6 linked regions of the Kluyveromyces lactis genome follow. The protein of the gene in region 6 binds, or shares a complex with, the protein of the main gene of each other region. Links are inferred from orthologs where the notes say so. Each region holds a gene or a part of one and is shown on either strand. Other genes may lie near its edges. The genes, in order: POL2, RFC3, RFC4, RFC5, RFC2 and CTF8.

Region 1 (4,969 bases), on a different chromosome or scaffold from region 6:
GTATCCTTGTTCGATGCTTAACTATAAAGTTCATCAAAAATACACTAATCATCAATATCAAGACCTCGTCGACCCTATGAAGTTCAAATACCAAACAAAAAGTGATAATTCCATTTTCTTTGAAGTCGATGGACCATATAAAGCAATGATACTGCCAACTTCCAAAGAAGAAGGTAAAGGTATCAAGAAGAGATATGCTGTGTTCAACGAAGATGGTTCATTGGCTGAACTAAAAGGTTTCGAACTAAAAAGAAGAGGTGAACTACAATTAATCAAAAATTTCCAGAGTGATATTTTCAAGTTATTCCTGGAAGGAACAACCTTAGAGTCATGTTACGCTGCAGTAGCAACAGTTGCTAATAGATGGCTTGATGTATTAGATTCTAAGGGTGCAATGCTCGAAACTGAAGATCTTATTGAACTGATTTGTGAGAATAAAAGTATGTCAAAAACATTAAAGGAGTATCAGGGACAAAAGTCAACTTCCATTACCACCGCAAGAAGGCTCGGTGAATTTTTGGGGGAAGCAATGGTTAAAGACGCAGGCTTACAGTGTAAGTTTATTATCAGTTCCAAACCACATAATGCACCGGTGACAGAAAGGGCTATTCCTGTTGCTATATTTTCTTCCGATCTTCATGTTAAGCGCACATTTTTAAGGAGATGGTTATTGGACTCAAGTCTCAATGACTTTGATCCAAGGGCTATTATCGATTGGGACTATTATAGAGAAAGATTGGCTTCTGTTGTTCAAAAAATTATCACAATACCGGCAGCATTACAAAACATTAAAAACCCTGTACCCCGTGTTGAACATCCTGATTGGTTAAGAAAGAAAATTGCTGTTAGTGAAGATAAATTCAAACAGACTTCCTTGAATCGTTTCTTCAAATCTACCAAAGCTCCACCTGAAGTCAAAGATATAGAAGACTCTTTTGATGAACATTCCGCGAATAAATCACGTATCGCTAAGGTCACGTACAAGAGAAAGAGCAAAAGACGTAATGGGGATACAGCACTAGAAGAAGAGTCTTTGCTGCTACCCTCTGAAATGCCTCCGATGTTAGATGATTATGTGGGCTGGTTACAATATCAAAAAACCAAATGGAAGATCCAGCATATTGATCGAAAGAAAAGAGAAAAGCTATTTGGTAAAACTTCACGAGCATCTGATCGGTCTGCTTTGGGCAATTTGATAAGAAAGCACGTTGAATCATATGCAGATAAAAGCTGGGAAATTTTACAATGTAAACCGTCCATCGATTTAGGTGTCGTAGAAATTTATGCTTTAATCGATAGGAAAATCCAATTGCTGAAAGTAAACATTCCCAAAACTGTACTCATGAACTTCAAGACGGAGAATTTCCCCTCGGGAGGGATTGAAAACTGTATCGTCGAAAAGTCCAACGCGGAACTGCCTAACGTGAAAGGCATCAACAATGAAAGCAGTAGTCAATTGTTTAAACTGACAATGTCAGAAGATACCTATTTCAACGAAGTTAATAAAGCATCAAGCGTATTGAACAACGAGAATGTTTTGGGAATATACGAGAGCTCAATTTCTTCGAATGAAAGAGTCATAATGCGGCTAGGGACGTGTATTCAATTCAGCTCTGAAAAAATGGGTGCGCTAGGAAAAGGTTTACAGAACGGTTTTCATATGAAGAATTTACATCCTGTTGAAGCAGATAGATATCTCCAAAGGTTTGACCTTGATATTGCCTACCTTCTACATTTTGTAACAGATATCGGCTATGAATTCTATTTCTTGTATAAAGCATGGGAAGATGTGGTAGAAATATTTGTGCTGAAACCAAGCACTCATGCTCAAGAAGTTTCTAATAAAGCTATAGAATCTCTTTACAACGAGATATACGAGAAAAAGTTCGAAAAGCTCGATAAATACTATGACTTAATCAAGATAAACAAGAACGTTTCGTTTAACGTGAATGATTATACTGAACTAAAGCGTTTACTGAAGGACCTTTCAAAGATGCTGCAAAATATTAAGGAAGAAAAAGGATCTCACACAATGGTGATTCTACAATCTCCATATACCCATAGAGTTGCTAAATTGTTGCAGCCTTTGAATGCCTTCCCTGTTGTTGAAATAGCTACTGCTGAAACACATTTGCCAGCTTTGAACTGGCAGGGACAATTAATGAGGAAAGCGGTCAATCACATATTGTCTCTTGGTTCTTGGATCTCAAATTTGATTACTCTCTCAAAATACAGCAACATTCCAATATGTAACCTCAAAGTCGATAATCTCGGATACATTATCGATTTGATGTACGCTCGCCAGTTGAAAAAGAACAACATCGTTCTATGGTGGAATGATAAATCGCCGTTGCCTGACCACGGTGGCGTTGAAAGAGATTTTGACCCACGGAAAGCGGAGCTCATGACTGATTTGGTGTTCCCTATTATGAATAACCCTGATATCTATGATGACGTTATCTTCGAAATTAGTGTCTATAACTCTGTTGTGAACACTGTTTTGAGCAGCACCATGTTGAACGAGGCTGAAGGTACAGACCTTGCCCAAAATTCGACATCTAAGGAAGAATCCTTCGGTTTTGTTGAAGATTCTTTCTCTTCTTCGGCCTTGTCAGTGCTTCGCGCACTGTTGAAAGAGCTTTGGGATGATGCCTTAGGTGATAATATCACGGCTGACTCATTAGTACACGCATTTATAGGATGGGTGTATAACCCTGACGCGAAATTATTCGATTATGCTTTGAGATATCACATCCATACTCTCACTCAAAAGGCCGTGTTACAGTTGATCAATGAATTTAAGCTGGCAGGATCATCTCTCATCTTCGCAGACAGAAACAAACTGTTAATCAAAACTCAGAAGCGTTCCGTTGAGAATTCTTACGCCTATGGGCAGTATCTCATGAAAGCGATCAGATCTAAACCAATGTTTGCCTATCTAGACTTGAAAATTGATAGATATTGGGATGTCCTGATTTGGATGGATAAGTATAATTATGGTGGTAGAGCATGTCTACAGATTGAAGATAAAGAAGTTCAGAGTTTCCAGGCTTATTCTCATTGGCATATAAAGGATTTCTTACCTGCAATTTATCAGCAAGAGTTTGATGATTGGTTAGTAGTCATACTGGATAGTATGGTTAAGACAAAGGAAGCCTATCATGAGCGAAATGCATCCACACAAAGATTAACCCAATTACCAAAGAATACACTGGCTGATAGTGACGTAGATAGTCAAACTGACTCTCTAGGCGGTTTTACCCATAATTTTTCAAAAGCTCTCATCAAAAGAGCAGAGAAACTTTACAAGAACCAACAGGAATATATTCTTGATCCTAACTTCGGCAAGGATTATCTATCTCCCACAATTCCTGGGTCGCATCTAGTTGTGAAAAATCCGCTTCTTGAGTTGGTCAAATACTTATCACATATTTTATCACTTTCCAGTAATCATTTATTAGAAGGAAGGGCGCTAAGGAAAGAACTCCTAAAGACATTTGAAATACGCGAATTCGACAGATTAGCTGAATTCAAGGATCCAAGTACATCTTTTGTGATCCCTAGCTTCATATGTGAGCATTGTTCTTATATATCAGATATTGATATTTGCAGAGAAAGTATGGAACGAGTCTTCATATGCCAGAGCTGCAACAGATCCTTGAATAAAAATCTCATTGAAGAGCATGTGATCGAACGACTTCAAGCCCAAGTTGCATCGTTTATTACCCAAGATGTTAAGTGCAATAAATGTCATAAGATCAAAGAGGATGCAATGTCACCTTATTGTCCATGTTCAGGAAAATGGGAACTTGCCGTATCTAAGGAATCTTTCATGGCACAGTTACAAATTTTCAAGAACTTGGCGGAAAGCTTTGACTTTAGAACATTGAAAGAAACTTTGAATGATTTCTTATAGGTTCAAGTCCCTGGCATCTGTTGTATTATCTTTTAGTCTGCTGATGTGTTTACATTTAACATTTATGAGTGTTTATGTGTTAAAATAGATCTGAAAATAAAAAATATATATACACATAAAGGAAATTGTTCTGAACTTAGCATGGTTGAATTCTTCCCACCTGAATGAAGACGCACTATGTGTTATTTACTGCGAATCAAGTGACCCAGAATGGTACGACCTGATGTTAGATATAGAGAAGAACAACTAGATTTTTTGGAAGCGTTTGTCGATGCCGATCCAAAACTGAGCCCGCCAATCTTGTTCATAGAAGGGCCGCATGGAAGTGGTAAGACACATACCCTCAAGAAGTTTTTTGCTTGCAATGAAGAAATCATGAACATTTTACTACCAGCGAAAGATCTGATATATAGCAAATCCACCTGTCAGCGGTTGGCTACATGTCTGCGTCAATTGCTACTGAAACAATTTCCTAGTGTGGAAACCACTGATCTTGATCCATTTGAAGCCGAGGACGTATATCTTTTGCAGAAATTTATCAATAAATTGTTTATCCGATTTAATCACTTGGTAGAACGCGTTAACCTTTATGTTATACTCGATGGGCTGGATGATAATTCACAGGTGAACTTGGAAACACCTACGCAACTCATGGCATTACCTGGATCTATTCTTCCACAAGCGATGATTCAACTTCGGTTAATAATCTCGTTCTCCAAATCCTCATTCTTGTCCAATTACTCAACGTTCAAGGTTCCCACGATCTTCTTCCCCAAATATAAACCACTGGAGATTGAATATATTGTATCACAAACACCAGGTTTCTCGGATGACCCGCTGTTATTGGAAAAAATGGATGAGATAGGATGCGGAAATACAGAACAATTCAGGAGTGAAATCTTCGAAAAATATATCCATTTCCTGATAGAATCATTAATTGTATATACAGGTTATGACCCCACTGCACTGATAGACATAATGAGAATTAAATGGAGGTGCTTTGTACGATCTTTAAATCAAGAGAACATTAAAAATACAGTACAGTTATACAAA
Region 2 (3,544 bases), on a different chromosome or scaffold from region 6:
TGTAGTAGGCAGACCAGCTGCATCGGAGGGCAACAACTCCCTCAATCTGTTTAGGTATACCACGGTGGTCAACAACGTGGATGTGTAAACGTTCGTGTACCGTACTAATCTCGAAATGAACGTCATTAGACTGGGTACTCCATTGTGGTTCTTACTGGATGGAGTGCCCGGTGGTGAAGGTGGGTATCTTTGGTTTCTGTTCTGTGTAGGAATCACTCTCAAAGCGTGATCAGTTAAAAATTTGATCATATCATCGCTCACTGGTGAATCGAACAGAATTTCCAAACTCTTCTTCTTGAACATGCTTAGACTTTATAGGCTTGTTGGGCTCTTACGATATGCTCCCAAAATTGTGCCTAACATGACAGGCAGTACTGGAAGATGCTTCATCCTTCCGATCCTAATCTCTCTTTTATATATGTTTGAACCTTCGCGAGTCTCCAGGTTACACATTTATCAATGCGCCAAAAAAGGCACGCTGCCATTGTCTACTTACAGTAAATACATCAATGCGGTGGTACCTGATACCCAAAACTATGCGATCTTGGAATAGTAATTTTATTTCGTGATCTTCAGAATCCAATTCACCCGTTGTCCTTCTGATCTAACCGTACTTCAAGCTGCATCAGTTATCAAGACGACCAAGGAAAGAAAAATGCTAATTAAAACACAATCAAGTAATGTAATTTCCAAAACTATAAAACTGACACTTTTTTTTCGTGGTCCCCATTGAAAATCTACCCATATCTAAACTCTATACATGCATTAAGTACCGTATCCGTTAAAACTTCTTTTCGTTCGAGACGAAACTTCGCGTTTTGCTTCTCTCTCGACACCGTTAAATCAACGAAAAAACGGGAAAGAAAAAGTTACACTATTTCGTGATTTCGCAGTCGCAGCATGTCACATGGTATATAGATCCGGTATACGTCTGACTAGTTTACTTATTGTGTGCATACATTGTCACACCTCTAATTCCATGCACTGTTTTATCGTTCCGATGGTTGCACTGGTCTGGATCGAATCGGTACCACCTCTTGAGATCGAATATTCGATATCACTTAGTCTAGATAGAAGTTCAATTCTGGTTTGAGGTTTCAGTTCATATTGTTCCAGTAGGCCCGCGATCCCCTCAATCATGTCAATAAGTGCTAAGCCCTTTGTGATTCTGATTTTGTTCACGGTGTATGTAGTGGTAGTCCAGTCGTCCTTGAGAATTGATTCCAGCATGGTTTCAAGGTCACGTGGGTGAGGTGCACCGATGCATTCGTAGATCAAATCCTCGGTGACTTCTTCTGTGTCAGGATTGTCTAGCGTAGCTCTTGCTGCCTGTAGTACGTTCAATGCTCGTCTCATGTCACCGGAAGAGAGCCTTAATAACGCTGCGTGTGCCTGAGGGTCTAATTTCAAGTGTTCCTTCACTAACACATTCGCAATACGACGTTCGATGGCTTGTTCGGACAAAGGTTGGAACCTGAACCTGGTACATCTTGACAGGAGTGCTGGTGTTAGCTTATGTGCATAATTAGCCAAGATACAGAATCTTGTGTTCTTGGTGTACCGTTCTATGATTCTTCTTAGTGCGTTTTGTGCAGCGTTGGTCATTGCATCTGCTTCGTCAAGGATAATAAGTTTGAACCCTTTGCTGAAGATCTGTCTTGTACTGGCAAACTCTTTGATTTGATTTCTCACCACATCGATACCTCTATCGTCACTCGCGTTCAATTCTAGGACCATGTTTCTGTAATTCGATCCGTATATCTCTCTAGCCAATGCTACAATGGTACTGGTCTTACCAGTTCCCGGTGGACCATAGAATAGTAAATGAGGTAGTCTTCCTTCGTGTAGAAACTTTCTTACCGTGTTCACTACGTTCTGTTGCCCATACACATCATCTAGTGTCTCAGGTCTGTATTTTTCGATCCAGGGCAAATTCTCACTCGTTCTCTCCATAGTTGCTGTTTTTCTTTCTGTTTTTTGTTACAAATCGACTGGTACTAATACTGATCAGTCAATTGGATGTGGGTAGAGCTGTTTCGACCCTTGTGGACCTCTTTACTCCCATCAAAATATCTTTCTATTTGTGTATGCTCGAACTCATCTTTCATCAATGTTAAATGGAAGAAAAAAAAATGGAACAAGTCGTAATTCTATATATAAGGTTCAAACGCATGCTCTTTGAATAAAGGGAGAGATCCGTAAGTAGCAGAGTAATTGTACTCTGATCACTGGTAACTGCACTATCATGCTATGGAGATATGTATGTTACTTGTTACTGACGGTTTTTGCGGTTCCGTGTTGCTGCTTTGATTTGTTTCTCGATGAGAACCTGATGGCCAGTGATACCGTCACTGGCAATGATAACAGTTCTGATTCTGCTTCATTGCAAGAATGGGCACCTGTTTCAGCTTCACTAGTAAAGGGTCAGAAATCATATTTCGAATTTTCTATCAACAATACAGATTCTTTCTCACAATTACTACAGACATATGAGATGTTCATCTTTTTAAGTGCAAATATCTGTGAACGGCCTAGTAAAGTTGATAACGATACATCTTTGGTCTTGTACTATACTTTTAACTCTAACGACACTGGGACCTTCACCACTGCAAAGAGTTCTACATTTGACGATGGGTATTTGGAAGCTTTGGCCTTAAGACCATATTATACTGACGACTCTTCGCTGAATAATGGCACGTATTCCACGTTGTATCTGATGGTCCAGTTGGTTAATAGCACCACTGGTCAGCCATTTGAATCGGATGGTAGTACAATTGCAGATGATGATGAGCGGTGGTCGTACCAGATTTCCATATCTCAGCGTGATCTTGTCTTTCAATGGGATAAACGTCCGTGGCTTGATGTCGTTGACACTGATTACAATTCTGCTTTGTTGGTTACTGGTAATGTCACAGCTATGTCGAAGACCACATCTAATTATTCGATCTATGATGTCAGCCTTTATGATATATACATCTATGGGTTCGAATATGCCGAATACTTTGATAATTTGAACCTATCTCATTCCCTTTGTGCCATTCAGAATGGGCCTTATCTAATTTCATCGGCTAATGGCTCATTGAACGGAACTAATAATGGTAATACAGCAGAAAATGCATCTCTATCTTCTACAACTCTATCAGTTCATAAATCTATTACGGTACGCGGGGGTAGCGCTAAGGAACAATTCCATATAACTGGCTTAAATTCGTCAACCACGTACGTTGCATATGTCACAAAGAAATTAGCCACCAGCACAAAGGAATTGGAAGATTCTGGTGGTGTTCTATTTTCTAAGCAATTATTTGAGACCATGGATGATTCATCTTGTTCACTCATCTTTGGATTGGGATTTTGTGATGGTGTTGCATATTCGGTACCATCCTCGTCTTTACTGGAATACAACGATAAGGACGAATTGGCCGCAATCTACGATTCCATAGCGGAATCTTATTATTCAAACTTCAGTTTAGCGTTGCAATTGATCCCCTGCGATACAGAACAAGATGCGGTATATTCTCCGCTACGAAAGTGCAGCAATTGC
Region 3 (3,549 bases), on a different chromosome or scaffold from region 6:
TCATTTGGTCTCTCTGATTTATTTTCTTCTTGATACTTCAGGAATATCTCTTGTTTATCGTTCAAATAATCAATACAATCAATCCATTTTTGATCAATCTTGCCTCTTAACACTTGATATATTATTTCAGGAGAGATTATCAAATCATTAACGATGGGACTTATGTCTTTCAACTTCGAAGAGTTACTCTTCAGTAACGATGAAAACTCAGAAAATTTACCCTTAACGAAATCGAGATCTTTAGTCAAATCGTTCAACTTGTTGTTAAATTCGGCAAAGTAATTTTTCAAACTCGGTATAAGTGTCTCAGTAGAGGTACGTATTGATTGGTTCTTTTCCATGAGATCATCAAATTCCTTGAGGAATTCAGTATGTAATTGATATTCTTTTTTTAGGGTCGAGTCAACGTAGGCTCGGTAAGTATCAATGTTATCATCTTTACCTGATGGAGAATCCTCTGGCAGTTGAAGTTCAGTTGCATCTAATTCTAACAGATCGCTTAAAACATCCATTATAATTTCAATATATGGTTTTCTGTCACGAACAGAGTGTAATACAATTTGAAGTATCTTTCTTTTCCAACTGTATTCTTTGCGGTGTAGTCGATGTTCTTTTTGATATATTTCAGGCTTTTCGTATTTTTTCTGAAAGTTGTAATACACACACACATCAGGAAAACGAAATGCTGACGGTGAGCGAACGGGGGAGTAGTTTAATTATATGCTTTCTATAGGTCCCCAAGCTTGAAAACTTTGGGTCATTTAAATATTTACAATCATTATGATTACTTTTTGGATGTTAATTATGTGGTAATAGTCTATTTACGATTTAAGCTTTTGAATTTTAGCTAACATACCTGATAGTTGAAGATGAGTCCCGACACCTTCAAGAATTCTCATATGTGTAAAGCCGATTTCCTTGATCATCTCCAATCTAACCGTTTCCTTAACTTCATCGAGATTTTTCATTACTCTGAAACAAGTTATCACTATATCTACCGCAGAGTAGCCTTTAACCCAAAGTTCTTTTAAATATTGCAGCGATTCATCGAGAGATCCAGATAATAGCATTCTCTTGACTATTAGTGGATGCGGGGAATCAACAATTTGGAAAACGTTCTCCCCATTTACTAAACCGAAACCAGCAACTGTACTTTGTAAATTGTTTATTGCCTGTCTCATGTCACCTTCGGCAGTGAAGATAATAGCTTCGAGACCATCATTCGTGTATTGAACATCTTCCAGCTTTATAATTTCCAATAATCTTTTGAGAACCTGTTCATCAGTTAGTTTCGAGTAACGTAGTATTGCACAACGAGATTGTAAAGGTTCAATTATCTTATTAGATTGGTTACATGCAAAAGCAAATCTCGTCGTATTAGAGTATAACTCCATTGTTCTTCTCAAAGCCTGCTGAGCACCACTGGTCATTGAATCTGCCTCATCCAAAATGATAATCTTATGCTTACCTGCTGGTAGCGTGCACTTCTTTTGGGCAAAATGCTTTATCTGATTTCTGACGACTTCGATACCTCTGTCATCAGACGCATTCAACTCCAATACAGCCTGTGAATACGCATCACCTAATAGCTCATGTGCCAAACAGTGTATCGAAGTTGTTTTACCAATACCTGGTAGGCCACTGATAATCATGTGAGGCATATTACCATCAGCAGCGATGGTTTGTAGCCGTTGCACCGTATCCTCATTCCCTACAATATCTTTCAATAAATGCGGTCTGTATTTTTCAACCCATGGTAATTCCAACTTGGTAGCGTAGGACATCTTTCAAAATCAATCTTCTAAGAACTGATCTGAACCCCCTGTTATAGTTATTAATCGGTCAATTGATAGTGACCCAGAGTTATGTATTTTCTTTTCAACCTCGACAGAACCATTATTTTCATTTGGCTCTGTGAATTAAATGCTCTCTACATTTCAAAGTTTCAAAGATTTAGATATAAATACATGTTGATAAACCAAAAAAAAAACAAGAAGAGAAGAAGTACAATCAGGCGCTTGGACATACTTACTAGTATCAATTTTGGCACGTTAATATGGTGTCACGCTCTCGGGATTGATATAATTCGAATCGTTGTGTTAATCGCGAAACAGGAAGCGATTATCCAGTGACATAAAACCCACGTGACTTTCAAACTTTATCAACATGAAAAATGCAGAAGAAGAAACGAATGTTTAGAGAAAGCTTTCAAAGATTCCAACGATATGGAAGCTCATCGCAGATGGTCCTTCGAGAATAAAGAATTGAAGACAAGCTCAAATGTCTGATACCAGTGAAAATTCAAATGCTGAGATTCCAGCTGATACCTCAGATGTCAAAGATAAACCTAAGCCGATAGTTAGGGCACCACAATTTCCACCTCCTCCGGAAGGCATATCAAAATCACAATGGAAGAAGATCTGCAGGAAGAAGCGTTTTGAAGAGACGAGGGCAGAATATGCACAAATCCGCAAAGAGAAGAGAAATCGTGCCAAATTGGCACGTAGGGAAAAGCTCAAGGAATATACTGATAGAGGCGAAGAAATCCCTGAAGAATTAAAGCGTCCACCAAAAGTTAATTTGAATCAAAGTGATTCCGGCATATCTATTATTCTTGACTGTTCCTTCGATGATTTAATGAACGATCGCGAAATTGTAAGTTTATCTACACAAGTCACTAGAGCTTATTCTAGCAACAAAAGAGAGAATAATTACGCCAAGATTAAAGTGACATCTTTCGATAAGAGATTAAAACAACGATTCGATAACGATTTGAGCAACTCTAACTACACCAAGTGGAAAAATTTCGAATTTACTGCAGATCCAACCTTGCCCACTGAGAATGCCGTCTATCTGACTGCTGATACAGAAGAAAAACTGGATACTTTAGAACCAGGGACCACTTATATCGTAGGTGGTATAGTAGATAAAAACAGACATAAGAACCTATGCTACAACAAGGCAAAGGAACTTAACATCCCAACCAAGAGGCTTCCTATCGGAGAATTTATCAATCTTGCTGGAAGGAAAGTGTTGACTACCAGCCATATGGTCCAACTAATGTTGAGATACTTCGACAACAAGGACTGGAAGGAAGCATTCGAAAGCGTGCTTCCACCTAGGAAACTCGAAGTCGACTCTACAAAAGAAGACTCTGAAACTGCTTCTGCTGAATAGAGCCAGCCCTTTATTATATAATTGTACGTTAATTACACCTTGCATATGGGCATCTGACAAGTAGACTACATAGCTATAAAACCAGTCTTCGGTTTTTAACCACACTCATACCCTACCAATGACTGCAAACGGCAACAAACATATCCATTTGCAGATCTAGAATTCCCCAAGGGCTTCATTTTTTCTTTGAGGACAGTACAAAACATCACGCACGACGCATGACTAACTTCTATTTGACTGGACTATCTTTCCTTCCAATGGAATTTTCATTTTTTTTTCCGGACGTACCCTCATCTCAATAGAAAAGAAAGGTTTTCAAGCAAAGAATGGTCTTCTGTTCTCAGGAAACTTTGCGAGTTGCGTCATGCACTG
Region 4 (3,756 bases), about 680 kb from region 6:
CAAATTACTGACTTGGAAGTATTTTTCAGTGAAAAGGTTAAATAGATCCCCAGCTGAGACTTTGTCGTTAACCAGTGACGCATATTCAGCTAAAAGGAAAACACCAGCCTTCACAAGCGATTCCGCCACGTTAGGAGCATGTAAGTAATCAATCAGATGTTCACACGCTAGTTTATGTAATGGTTCATTGTTCACCACTATCTGACAAATTCGCTTCCAAACATGATCATTCTTGATTGATGTGTTTGATGATAATAACCTTAACGAGGAGAGCACAAACCAGTTGAGATCATCTGCGTGCAGCTCTATCAGCCTTTCAATTTGGAACGACAAATCTTCTCTCAGAGCAAAATCCATTGATTTGTGGGCTTCTAATGCACTTAAAAGCTCTTGAACGACAAATTTGAAATTGCTTACGTCTGTTAAGATGACAAGGAGATCAATAATTTTTCTCAATAGAGTAACGTCACTCTCTCTTTTTAACATATCAACTAATCTCGTGAGATGTTCATTTTGAATTGTCTTTATCGCAGTTGTTCCATTTACTTTACAGATTTTGATTAAAAGATCGAAAGTTGAATATCTCGTATTCAGGTCATTAGATGTCATTAGTTCACAAAGTCCTGTGACGGAATTTGAAATAGCCTCATTAGTAGGATCCAGTTTACAAGCAAAACCGAGCATTGTAAACATAACAGAATACTGAGCATTTTTGGTGACCGGATTGGCATCACTTGCTAATGCAAACGATACCGCATGTGATACACAAACCCGTAACTTACCCAGGGTCTGTTGATCAATATTCGATCCGATCAAATTCTCTCCGTTATCGCTGACCAAGACTTGTAAAAGAGATACACAATTCCCTACAATCCATGGGTTAGATACTCCCGAAAATTGGTAATCTGCATCATTTGCACTATTCTGCTTTTTCGATAGACATTCATGCAAAATCTCAGCTAGTTGCGGGATTAACCTCAAACATGGATTAACGTCAATCTCTCTAGCTATAAACTCAAGTAAAGGCAAAAGTGAAAGTAATAATCCATGATCGTTCTCATCCCCTAATAATGTAGTAATTCTTTCAATCCATAGAGTTCGTTTATTATCTTCAAGATTTGTAAGGATTTGCGGTTTATAACGAATTAAAGTTAAAAACGCCAAGCATGCTTTTCTTTTCAAAATGGCTGATGAGACAGGAGATCTAAGAATTCCGAATATCGTCTCACTTAGATTATCAGCAAAGATTTCATCACGATTCCCAACTATTCCGACGAAGTTCAACGCCAAGCTTACTGCATTAGCGTCGCCAGATGATAGATCCAGTTTCAAGCATGAAATAGTCTTCTCCAGGACGCTGTTTCTCACAACAGCATGGTTGAAAAGGAGTTCAAGTGTCATATAACCAATCCATTTTTCACTGAAGTTACTGCTTTTCAACAACTGGAAACATTGATCCAATCCGAATAACAACTCAGGAACCATGCCAGCATTAGTAGTGATATATATATATGCCATCTTAGCAACATATTTTTTCCTTTGATACCCATTGAGCCCACTTTTCTGGGTAAACTGAGTCCGTATATTCTGTAGTTCAGTTTGTATTCTCCTAGCATGCTCTTTAGTCTTCTGGTTTGCTCGAAGGTCTGCAATGAACAATTGCAAACCCTTCATGTTGTTCTGTTGATTCTGACCTAAAGCCATTGTTAATTTCTTGATTCTGACTTGTAAGACACCAAATAACTAGGAAGATAATCAAGTGGCACTGCTAATCGATAACAACTAGTAAGTGTACAGATAAAAATGGTACCTACTGCTGGTATACTATCTAACTTGATGTTGTTGTTTTAAGGCTATTGAAGTTACGTCTACTTGAAATCATTTGAATTTCAAAATGTCAACGTGAAGAAACGTTTGGCGAAATTGTTAATAAAACGCATCACGAAAAGTACTTGAGAGACAATTAATCAAAACGCATAGCAGGCGAACGAGCCATTCCAGCGAGTTACATTGAGCTACATCGACTAACAAGATTTAAAATTCCTATACGAGAATGTCTTTGTGGGTTGATAAGTATAGACCAAAGACTCTACAGTCATTAAGTTACAATGAAGAATTAACAAATCAATTGTACTCATTAACGAGACAACCTCAAGATCTTCCACATCTGTTGTTCTATGGACCCAATGGTGCTGGTAAGAAGACTAGATGTATGGCACTGTTGCAAGAAATATTTGGTTCTGGGGTTTACAAGCTGAAGATCGACGTTAGACAGTTCGTCACACCATCCAACCGTAAGCTGGAGTTGAATGTAGTCAGTAGTCCCTACCATTTAGAGATTACTCCGAGCGATATTGGTAACAACGATCGTGTTGTGATACAAGAATTGATTAAGGAAGTCGCTCAAATGGAACAAGTAGATTTCCAGGACTCCAAGGATGGTTTGGCACATCGTTACAAGTGCGTTATCATCAACGAGGCAGACTCGTTGACTAGAGATGCCCAGGCAGCATTAAGAAGAACTATGGAAAAATACTCTGGTAACATCAGGCTTATAATGCTATGTGATTCAATGTCCAGTATCATTGCTCCTATCAAGTCTCGTTGCTTGCTAGTTAGAGTACCATCACCAAGTTTGCAAGAAACTGTGTCTATCCTGCAGGATTGTTGTTCCAAAGAAAAAATAACTGCCGAGGGCAATTGTCTAGAGAGGATAGCGAATCTGTCAAAGGGGAACTTGAGAATGTCACTCTTAGCACTAGAATCTACCTCACTACAAAATGAATTGCATTTAAGAAACGATACACCTTTGAACAGACCTGATTGGCAATTGGTGATCCATAAAATGGCTAGGAAAATATTAAAAGAAAGAACTGTTAATAACCTTGTAGAATGCCGTTCCATAAATTATGATCTATTAGCCCATTGTATTCCTGCCAAAACCATAGTCCATGAATTAACGACGCAATTGCTTTCAGATGCCCAGTCAGATCCGTTGAAGTTGGCAATTATCGATACTGCATGCACTTTTGATCACCGTCTCAACCTTGGAAACAAAGCAATCTACCATTTAGAAGGGTTCATTGCAAGGACAATGTGTGAAATAGATAAATATACGTAAGTATTAACTTTTGTAGTTTGACAAACAACCAAACTTTACTCATTTGGGACTTTAAATCTTGAATCTTTGATAGCCTATTTACAGATAGTGGGATTAGCTCTCACAAAAGTTATACGTAAAAGAGTCGTTTATATACACACATCGATCTATTTCAACGAGCCCTGAACATTCTATATTCCGGTTGCTGGGACTTCAACTTTGTAATATATTCCTTTGTAGGTTTCTTCTTTAGTTCTTCAAAGTAATTGATCTTTGGATCGTCCTTTGGATCTTTTACACTCTTGATACCTACTCTTACCAGAGAATCTTTCGATATGAATTCGTATAGGCCAGGAAGCTTGGTTGCTGCCTTTCTAAACGCCTCACGTGCTACTTTCTCGTGTAGATTGTCACCTGCCATCTCAAAGATCACTTTACCGGTGGGTACTCTGACCATCCAATGGTCAAATCCACCCTTACCTTTACCCATTCTGGTCTCATTACCCTTGATACAAACAGCAATGTTTGTACACAAACGACGCCATAATTGACCGTTATTCAAAGGTCTAACGTATCTCATAATAGCATTATCGGCTTCCTTCAACTGTAACGCAGTAAGTCTCACACCTTCAGACTTCAATCTTAAACCAAATTGA
Region 5 (3,565 bases), about 840 kb from region 6:
AGCAGCAGCAGCAGCAGCAGCAGCAGCAGCAGCATCAGCAACAGCAACAACAGCAACAACAGCAACACATTCAGCGCCCACATCAACAGCAGCAGCAGCAACCTCAACAACGCAAACTTCAACAAATTCATCAACAACACAGCCAGCATGCTCATCCTGCTCAGCAGCAGCAACATGGTAAACCACCACAAAACATTGCTCAATCAGGTGCTCCAATGCAGGCACCTCCAGGATTCCCAGTTGGGATGCCACCACATATGATGGCCCCTCCTATGGGAATGCCTCCACAGCACTTCCAAGGTGGCTATGCTATGCCTCCTCCACCGCCACCTGGAATGGGACAGCCACGTATAATGAGCAACGGTAAAGGATTCCCCGAACACTTGGGTAACCCACAACAGCAGCCTCCTAGCGCTCCAAAACAGCCAGCAAGTAAAGTTGGTCCGCAAGGTCAAGTTCCTTCACAAGGCCATCCTCAATCCCACCCACAACAACCTTATATGATGTCAGGTATGCCAATGAACTTCAATGGGCAAAATGTTCCAATTCCAGCTCAAGGTATCCCACCAAATGCATTCCCATATGGCCATCCAATGATGGCTCTACAGTTTCAACAACAACAACAGCAGCAGCAGCAACAACAATACCCGCAGCAACAACAACACCCGCAGCAACCGCGCCAAACAAATCCGCGCCAATAACGCAATTACATCTAAATAAGTAGCAAGTAAATCGATACTTTTCTTTGCATTCATTGATCTAATTACTCATCTAACTAGTTATATAATTGAGATACCTTCATTGCTAGGTTCAACATTTGAAGATGCTCGCTAGCTCCGTTGGTTAACTTGGAATCGCTATCGAAAAGTAGCCAAGATACCTTATTCTTAAACTCTGTATCGTAGCTTTCATTCTTGATGTAATACTCATGCAATTGGGTCAATGCTGAAGCTGCACTCCATCCCTGGTTAACAAATTCCTGTACCTTATCAATAATCTTGTTGAGATCTTTTCCTTTTATTACGTTGATTAGATCCTGTAGTATCTCTTCATGAATCGTCCCCGATAATTCATTAGCATGCTTCAAAGTAATAGTATTCGCATCATCGTTCTGCAACACGATCTTAGCTGCAGATTGGAGCAGAGTTATAGCCTTTCTTAGATCACCTTGGGAAATATCTAATATTCTTTCAAGAACACCGTCTTCATATTTCAAAGATTCTTCGTTAGCGATGAACTGTAGACGGCTTAGTGCATTGGATGAATCCAACGCTTTGAATCTGAATTTGGAACACCTTGAAGCCAAGGGATCAATGATTCTAGTAACGTAATTACAGATCAAACAGAATCTAGTGACACCAGAATAGGTTTCCATGGTTCTACGCAGCGCACTTTGTGCGTCAGCAGTCATAGAATCGGCTTCATCAAGAATGATAATTTTGTATGGTGGACATGGATAATTCGCAAGGTCTGATTCTGATGGCTTAGACACAGTGAGCCTAGCAAAGTTCTTCACTTTCTCTCTGACGATCGAAATACCACGTTCATCGGACGCGTTTAATTCTAGAACTCTGCTGTTCGATAAATGGGGACCGTACAACTCTTTCGTCAAAGCAAGAATAGTAGAAGTCTTACCAGTACCAGGAGGACCATAAAACAACATATGTGGCAAATTTGCAGTCTGTAAAGTCCTTTTCAAGACGGTAACGGCATGATCCTGAGCAGCAACATCATCTAATTTCCTTGGTCTATACTTTTCAACCCATGGTTTTGCTTGACCTTTACCATCTGATGGGTTCAACTTCTGTTTCTTGAATATCGTTCCACTAGACATCGCGCCTCAACACCTTCTTGAGCTCTCAATGGCCCTTTACAAACCTTTATTTCTCATATTTTATAATCCAAAAGATCTTATCATTCAAAGTCGTTAAAGGTTCAGCTGGGAATTTTTCAATGTTGAAAGCTTATTAAATACAGAGTACACGATGAGATGATAAAGAGGTGTCCACTAGAGGACCAAGATATTGATCATAACCTCACGACCAATGACCGTGGAGATGACAGATGAGGAAAATATATGGGGCTCTGATAATGAGGCCAGTACCGGTCCTCAAGAGTCGCTAGAAGTGAAGAAACTTCAACAAATACATTCGAAAAGAGGGTATTTAGATGGTATTTCGTCAGCGAAGGAGGAAAACTTGCAAGCTGGGTTTGACGATACCTTCCCCTTGGGTGCTAAGTATGGGTTTCAAATAGGGGAAATTGTGGGTAAATTGAGGCTATTTACCACGCTTTATGGGAATGCAGACCCTCAAGTTGCTGCAGACTTAAAGCAAGCTCAAGACGAACTACGGATTAACAGGGTGTTGTCCGCTAGACACTTCGATGAAGAATTACAACCTTTAGATTCATTGAAGGTACTCCTATCCAAATGGCAAGCTCGGGTATTGGATTATGAAGGTAAGTATTCTTGATGAGTATGATTTTTATTTTGATAAATAATGACAGGTATACGCACCTTCTTACAAATACATAGTGTATAAGAAGATATAATGATTCAATAGTCTATAATGCTTTTAGCGATGTTCTTTTTGTTTAGGTATCACCAGAACGAACACCAGCCGATGTAATGTTGACATAGGTTTTCTACTGATGTAGCTTGCTGGATCAACTTGTCGACTTGATCAGGCACAGATAGTTCTTGATACCTTGGGAAATCGTTACCAGTAAGTTTATCAGCGATTCTTTTGAGAACAAGAGTGGCTCTTGCGTTGCGGACTTCTGCCTTTTGTTGTAGTTCCATCTTGGCCGCATCTTCAACGGTGATGACGCCCTTTCTTAGTAACTCACTTGGATTTGCAAGAGGTAGATCTATTCCCGTCTGTTCCATCACGGCTTGAGTCGGTAGATCGAAACCCCAGTTGATTAATGGATCGTATGCAAAGGCTTCCAAAATAGCCATCAAGGACTCCTTATTATCCCTTAGGACCATCATTACGTTCTCACAGGTGATACGGAAACTACCTTCAATACCACTGACTTCCATTGCGTACGTTAACATTCTTGTTAATCTGAATGGTACCTTTTCTGGGTATTTCTCTCTGAGAATTGCAGCTTCGAAACAGTCACCGAAATCAATGTGGACAACTTTACCAGTAACACGGTCCAACATCAAATTACTTGGATGACGATCACCTAAACCTAAAATATATCCTACCATTGACATGACGGCTAACGATCTTGTGTAAGTTGTACGACGTTCGAGCCATGATTCTGATGAACGACTCTTTAACCATAGAACCTTATACAAGTCCTGGCCCTTGGTGTTATCAAGAGCATAAGTGAAAACTTCCACTTTTTGCAATAGAGTTAGGTTATCATAATCAGGAGCCATTTGGAGCATTATTCTGTGTTCTATATTTAGTGGAACTTTGCTTGCTTCACGATGTTCTCTGATCAAGACATGGAATGTATCACTATTTGGAACCCATCCCAAAAGACCGGATTTAGGTGATAATGGGATAGCAGGGTATTGTTGAATGTTCAAATGCCTTTGGAAACTCTC
Region 6 (3,089 bases):
CCATTTTTTCCAAAAATGAAAAGAAGGCCAGAGAATTGATCCTAAAGTTGGGATTGAAGCCAATCCAAGGTGTTTCTAGAGTCACTTTCAAGAAGAAGGATGGTCAAATCTTTGCTATCGACAGACCAGAAGTTTACAAGTCTCAAGGTGGTAACTTTGTTGTTTTCGGTGAAGCCAAGGTTGATGATTTCACTCAAAGATTAGCCAAGGCTCAAGAATCTCTTCAACAAAATGAAGGTGTTTTGCCAGCTGGTCAAGATGCTGTTTCTAAGGACCCACAGTCCATCCAAGCGGACATGCAAGCTGCTGCTGACTCCGCCACTGACAAGCCTTCTGCTGACGACGCTGTAGATGATGCTGAAGTCGATGAAACTGGTTTGAACGCTGACGACATTGAATTGGTCATGCAACAAGCCGGCGTCCCAAGAGCTAAGGCTGCTAAGGCTTTGAAGGAGCACGACTCTGACATCGTCAACGCTATCATGGCCTTGTCTGGTTAAAAAGCACAGGAATAGTAGATAACTAGATAATTCATTTTTACTTGTATACTTATCTACTGCAAACTCGTATCAGATCCTATTTCATTTCTCTTCTAGTTCTGGAACTTCATGAAGTGTGTCAGAGGCCTCGCTTTTGCTACTAGCTGGTGCGGCTGTGTTCGAGGGCTTTGTAGCTAGTTTGGATCCGCAATTGGAACACACGTATTGGAACGGTACACCAGCTACTGAGTAGCAGCCAAAGGACATTTTACATTGTGAACAAACTATTAACGATATTGATGGTTGTAATGTTTTTATGTCATCACCACCTGCTAGTATACCTAGGGCTTTATCGAACCATTTCTCACGTGCTTCAACATCTTGAGTCTTCTGTTTCTCATTTGTGCGCAATTGTTCCAATTCCATCTTAAGCTTCTCTAGTTGTTCATGCTTCGCTTTCACTTCATCGTCCATTAGTAACATTAAATCATCAGATCCACTTTCACCGCTGGAGTACCGTTGAATTAGTGAGTTAGTGTGATAGAAATTCGTTTTCTGTTTCAATTCCTCCATCTTCTCTTGATGTAAGGATATTAATGCTGAGAGCCTCGACTCATATTTTTTATTGAGCATGAGATAGAATCTTGTTATGGCAAGCCTTATGCATATTAGTAAAGCTAGTGCTACAATGCTGCATAAGATAGCACGCGAAGATGAATACTTCAAATAAACATATGCAATTATGCAAACCAATAACGTCAAATAATAATAAGTTACTGTTGCACGTAAACTTTTGGCTCTATCTTCGATTCCCTTCAATTTCGTTTCGTAGTCATGTATCTTATTCGTTATGGAAGATAAGTCTTTGTTATACCTTTGAACTAACTTCTTAACATCATTATCGCCACTTACAATCTTTCGTACGGCGCTCAACATGTTAAGGTATCAATATCTACTTCCCTTTGATGTCCGATCTCGAGAAACCCTTTATTTTAGGTAGTCCATTTTTTTTTACATAGTTGTTTGTAGGCTATAATGATCCTTTAAATATCAAATCCATGTTATTTCTAAATCATATTGACGAAAAATTATTGAAATTGAAGAATTCGGGAACAGACGATGGAATGACGCCAAAACAAGTCAGTTTGGGTTTCTTAAAACCTTATATATCCATACAAATATCGCTTGGATACTGCCTTTGCACCCAAACTTCTAGTTATGCCAAGTGTGGATATTTCCGTTAATCAATTGATAGATATATTCGCGGAAGATCGCGATACACCACCGACAGTAAGTACATCCTTAGGTCATGTCATGATAGAAATTCAAGGAGACTTGCAACATCCACAGAAGTCAATTGATCCTGCATTGGATGTGGACTCAAGGTTTATAGAGCATGAAGGAAATGGATTGGTACGATTTGGCATATTATCCTACGATCTGGAAACAAAACACGTTACGCTCTTTATTGGGAACAAACAAAGACTTATGGGTTCCATTGTAAAAATTGAGCCACCATTGGGACTCTTGAAATTTGACAAAGCTGATGGAACTGTTAGCCTGCGAGACGTACTCAAATATAAGATAATATTCAAGAATAGACCGCTTCCGATTATGTAGAAATAAAGACTTCTTAAGAACGTATTCTCTAACTATAAACAATGCATAAGGAGGATGATTTGGATTATAATTTCCAACCTGTGGTTAAGTTTAACTCATTGAGTCTTGATTGATTAAATACAGGGAATGGATGGGCCTCAGTATTAAATACAATCTTGCTTAGCTCAACATCATCGTCGAACAAAAGGTAAAGATATTTCAAAGTCTCTGCTAGCCAGAAACTCTCAAGATTGTCAGCTTTGTCTGTTGGTAATGAAATAACATTATGCAACGAAGTGTATGCGACCTTTTCTTCGCCATCCGCCGCGACTTTAATGACTTTAGTATGCTTGATGAAATTGCTAAAGATTTCCCATCCCCAGTGTCTATATTGTTCATTTCCTGATAAATGATACAAAAACATTAGAGATTCGACAGTTTCTGGGCGTTGGATGTTGTGTTTGTCAAAGGGCTTTACGAAATAGTCTTCGGACTCAGATCTCCACCAGTTAGGTTCAGCGTTAGGGTAGTTACTATTGAAAACAACGATTTCTGGTGACAATCCTGATGGGATTTGGTGATACATTTCATAACAAGACTTTGTCAAATCCTCAGCGAGTTCCCAGTCATTTTGTTTCGTAGGATTCCAGTCAGGACCATTCGCAGCTTCAGAGTATGGTTTACCATTCGTGGCTCCCATCGCTAATAACCCACCCATGAAACATACCAAATGGTCGAATTTGGACGATGTTGGTCCAGCTAAGCCATAATCCTTCTCCCCAATGTATTTAAGATGCAATTGACCTTTACTCTCGCCTAGTAGATGCCTCTTCATACTATCCATCGAAAAATCGTAGAGCTTTCTGTAGAGAACTTCACCGGTAAGTAAATTTTGTTTCAAGAGATATTCGTAAAACGAGTCTCCACGAGAACCAAATCTAATTATTGATCCTTGGAAAACACCGGTATCTGGATTGGTGAAGATAGGGATTAGTCCCTGGTAGTGGCGTC

The links.
Region 1: the proteins of CTF8 (region 6) and POL2 are in contact, whole or in part, in a cryo-EM structure (PDB 6S2F), measured with the Saccharomyces cerevisiae proteins. The link is inferred for Kluyveromyces lactis from reciprocal best matches to the Saccharomyces cerevisiae genes CTF8 and POL2. Residues at the interface, in NP_012061.3 of Saccharomyces cerevisiae: Glu40, Lys87, Gln88, Arg128, Leu130, Pro131, Met133; in NP_014137.1 of Saccharomyces cerevisiae: Arg1025, Met1036, Leu1037, Glu1038, Glu1040, Asp1041.
Region 2: CTF8 (region 6) and RFC3 share a complex: the UniProt entries of both Saccharomyces cerevisiae proteins name them as parts of the CTF18-RFC complex. The link is inferred for Kluyveromyces lactis from reciprocal best matches to the Saccharomyces cerevisiae genes CTF8 and RFC3.
Region 3: CTF8 (region 6) and RFC4 share a complex: the UniProt entries of both Saccharomyces cerevisiae proteins name them as parts of the CTF18-RFC complex. The link is inferred for Kluyveromyces lactis from reciprocal best matches to the Saccharomyces cerevisiae genes CTF8 and RFC4.
Region 4: CTF8 (region 6) and RFC5 share a complex: the UniProt entries of both Saccharomyces cerevisiae proteins name them as parts of the CTF18-RFC complex. The link is inferred for Kluyveromyces lactis from reciprocal best matches to the Saccharomyces cerevisiae genes CTF8 and RFC5.
Region 5: CTF8 (region 6) and RFC2 share a complex: the UniProt entries of both Saccharomyces cerevisiae proteins name them as parts of the CTF18-RFC complex. The link is inferred for Kluyveromyces lactis from reciprocal best matches to the Saccharomyces cerevisiae genes CTF8 and RFC2.

What each region holds. Positions count from the first base shown.
Region 1 is NC_006039.1:231,916-236,884, forward strand, and holds the end of POL2 (DNA polymerase epsilon catalytic subunit), read left to right. Parts: coding exon 1-3,916; downstream 3,917-4,969. Other genes in the region: ORC5 (origin recognition complex subunit 5), read left to right, coding at 4,127-4,969. UniProt on the Saccharomyces cerevisiae protein: Catalytic component of the DNA polymerase epsilon complex which participates in chromosomal DNA replication.
Region 2 is NC_006041.1:1,166,898-1,170,441, reverse strand, and holds RFC3 (replication factor C subunit 3), read right to left. Parts: upstream 1,954-3,544; coding exon 964-1,953; downstream 1-963. Other genes in the region: PCL1 (Pcl1p), read right to left, coding at 1-303; MID1 (Mid1p), read left to right, coding at 2,246-3,544. UniProt on the Saccharomyces cerevisiae protein: Component of ATP-dependent clamp loader (RFC and RFC-like) complexes for DNA clamps, such as the POL30/PCNA homotrimer and the checkpoint clamp DDC1:MEC3:RAD17 complex.
Region 3 is NC_006039.1:338,824-342,372, forward strand, and holds RFC4 (replication factor C subunit 4), read right to left. Parts: upstream 1,785-3,549; coding exon 822-1,784; downstream 1-821. Other genes in the region: VPS52 (Vps52p), read right to left, coding at 1-512; TRM10 (tRNA (guanine(9)-N(1))-methyltransferase), read left to right, coding at 2,281-3,177. UniProt on the Saccharomyces cerevisiae protein: Component of ATP-dependent clamp loader (RFC and RFC-like) complexes for DNA clamps, such as the POL30/PCNA homotrimer and the checkpoint clamp DDC1:MEC3:RAD17 complex.
Region 4 is NC_006038.1:1,066,173-1,069,928, reverse strand, and holds RFC5 (replication factor C subunit 5), read left to right. Parts: upstream 1-2,053; coding exon 2,054-3,121; downstream 3,122-3,756. Other genes in the region: APL3 (Apl3p), read right to left, coding at 1-1,704; MRPL16 (mitochondrial 54S ribosomal protein uL16m), read right to left, coding at 3,273-3,756. UniProt on the Saccharomyces cerevisiae protein: Component of ATP-dependent clamp loader (RFC and RFC-like) complexes for DNA clamps, such as the POL30/PCNA homotrimer and the checkpoint clamp DDC1:MEC3:RAD17 complex.
Region 5 is NC_006038.1:1,228,666-1,232,230, reverse strand, and holds RFC2 (replication factor C subunit 2), read right to left. Parts: upstream 1,835-3,565; coding exon 776-1,834; downstream 1-775. Other genes in the region: EAP1 (Eap1p), read left to right, coding at 1-701; YAE1 (Yae1p), read left to right, coding at 2,046-2,474; phosphatidylinositol kinase-related protein kinase TOR1, read right to left, coding at 2,603-3,565. UniProt on the Saccharomyces cerevisiae protein: Component of ATP-dependent clamp loader (RFC and RFC-like) complexes for DNA clamps, such as the POL30/PCNA homotrimer and the checkpoint clamp DDC1:MEC3:RAD17 complex.
Region 6 is NC_006038.1:386,382-389,470, forward strand, and holds CTF8 (Ctf8p), read left to right. Parts: upstream 1-1,697; coding exon 1,698-2,099; downstream 2,100-3,089. Other genes in the region: EGD2 (Egd2p), read left to right, coding at 1-500; LNP1 (Lnp1p), read right to left, coding at 582-1,415; MNS1 (mannosyl-oligosaccharide 1,2-alpha-mannosidase), read right to left, coding at 2,164-3,089. UniProt on the Saccharomyces cerevisiae protein: Essential for the fidelity of chromosome transmission. Required for the DNA replication block checkpoint.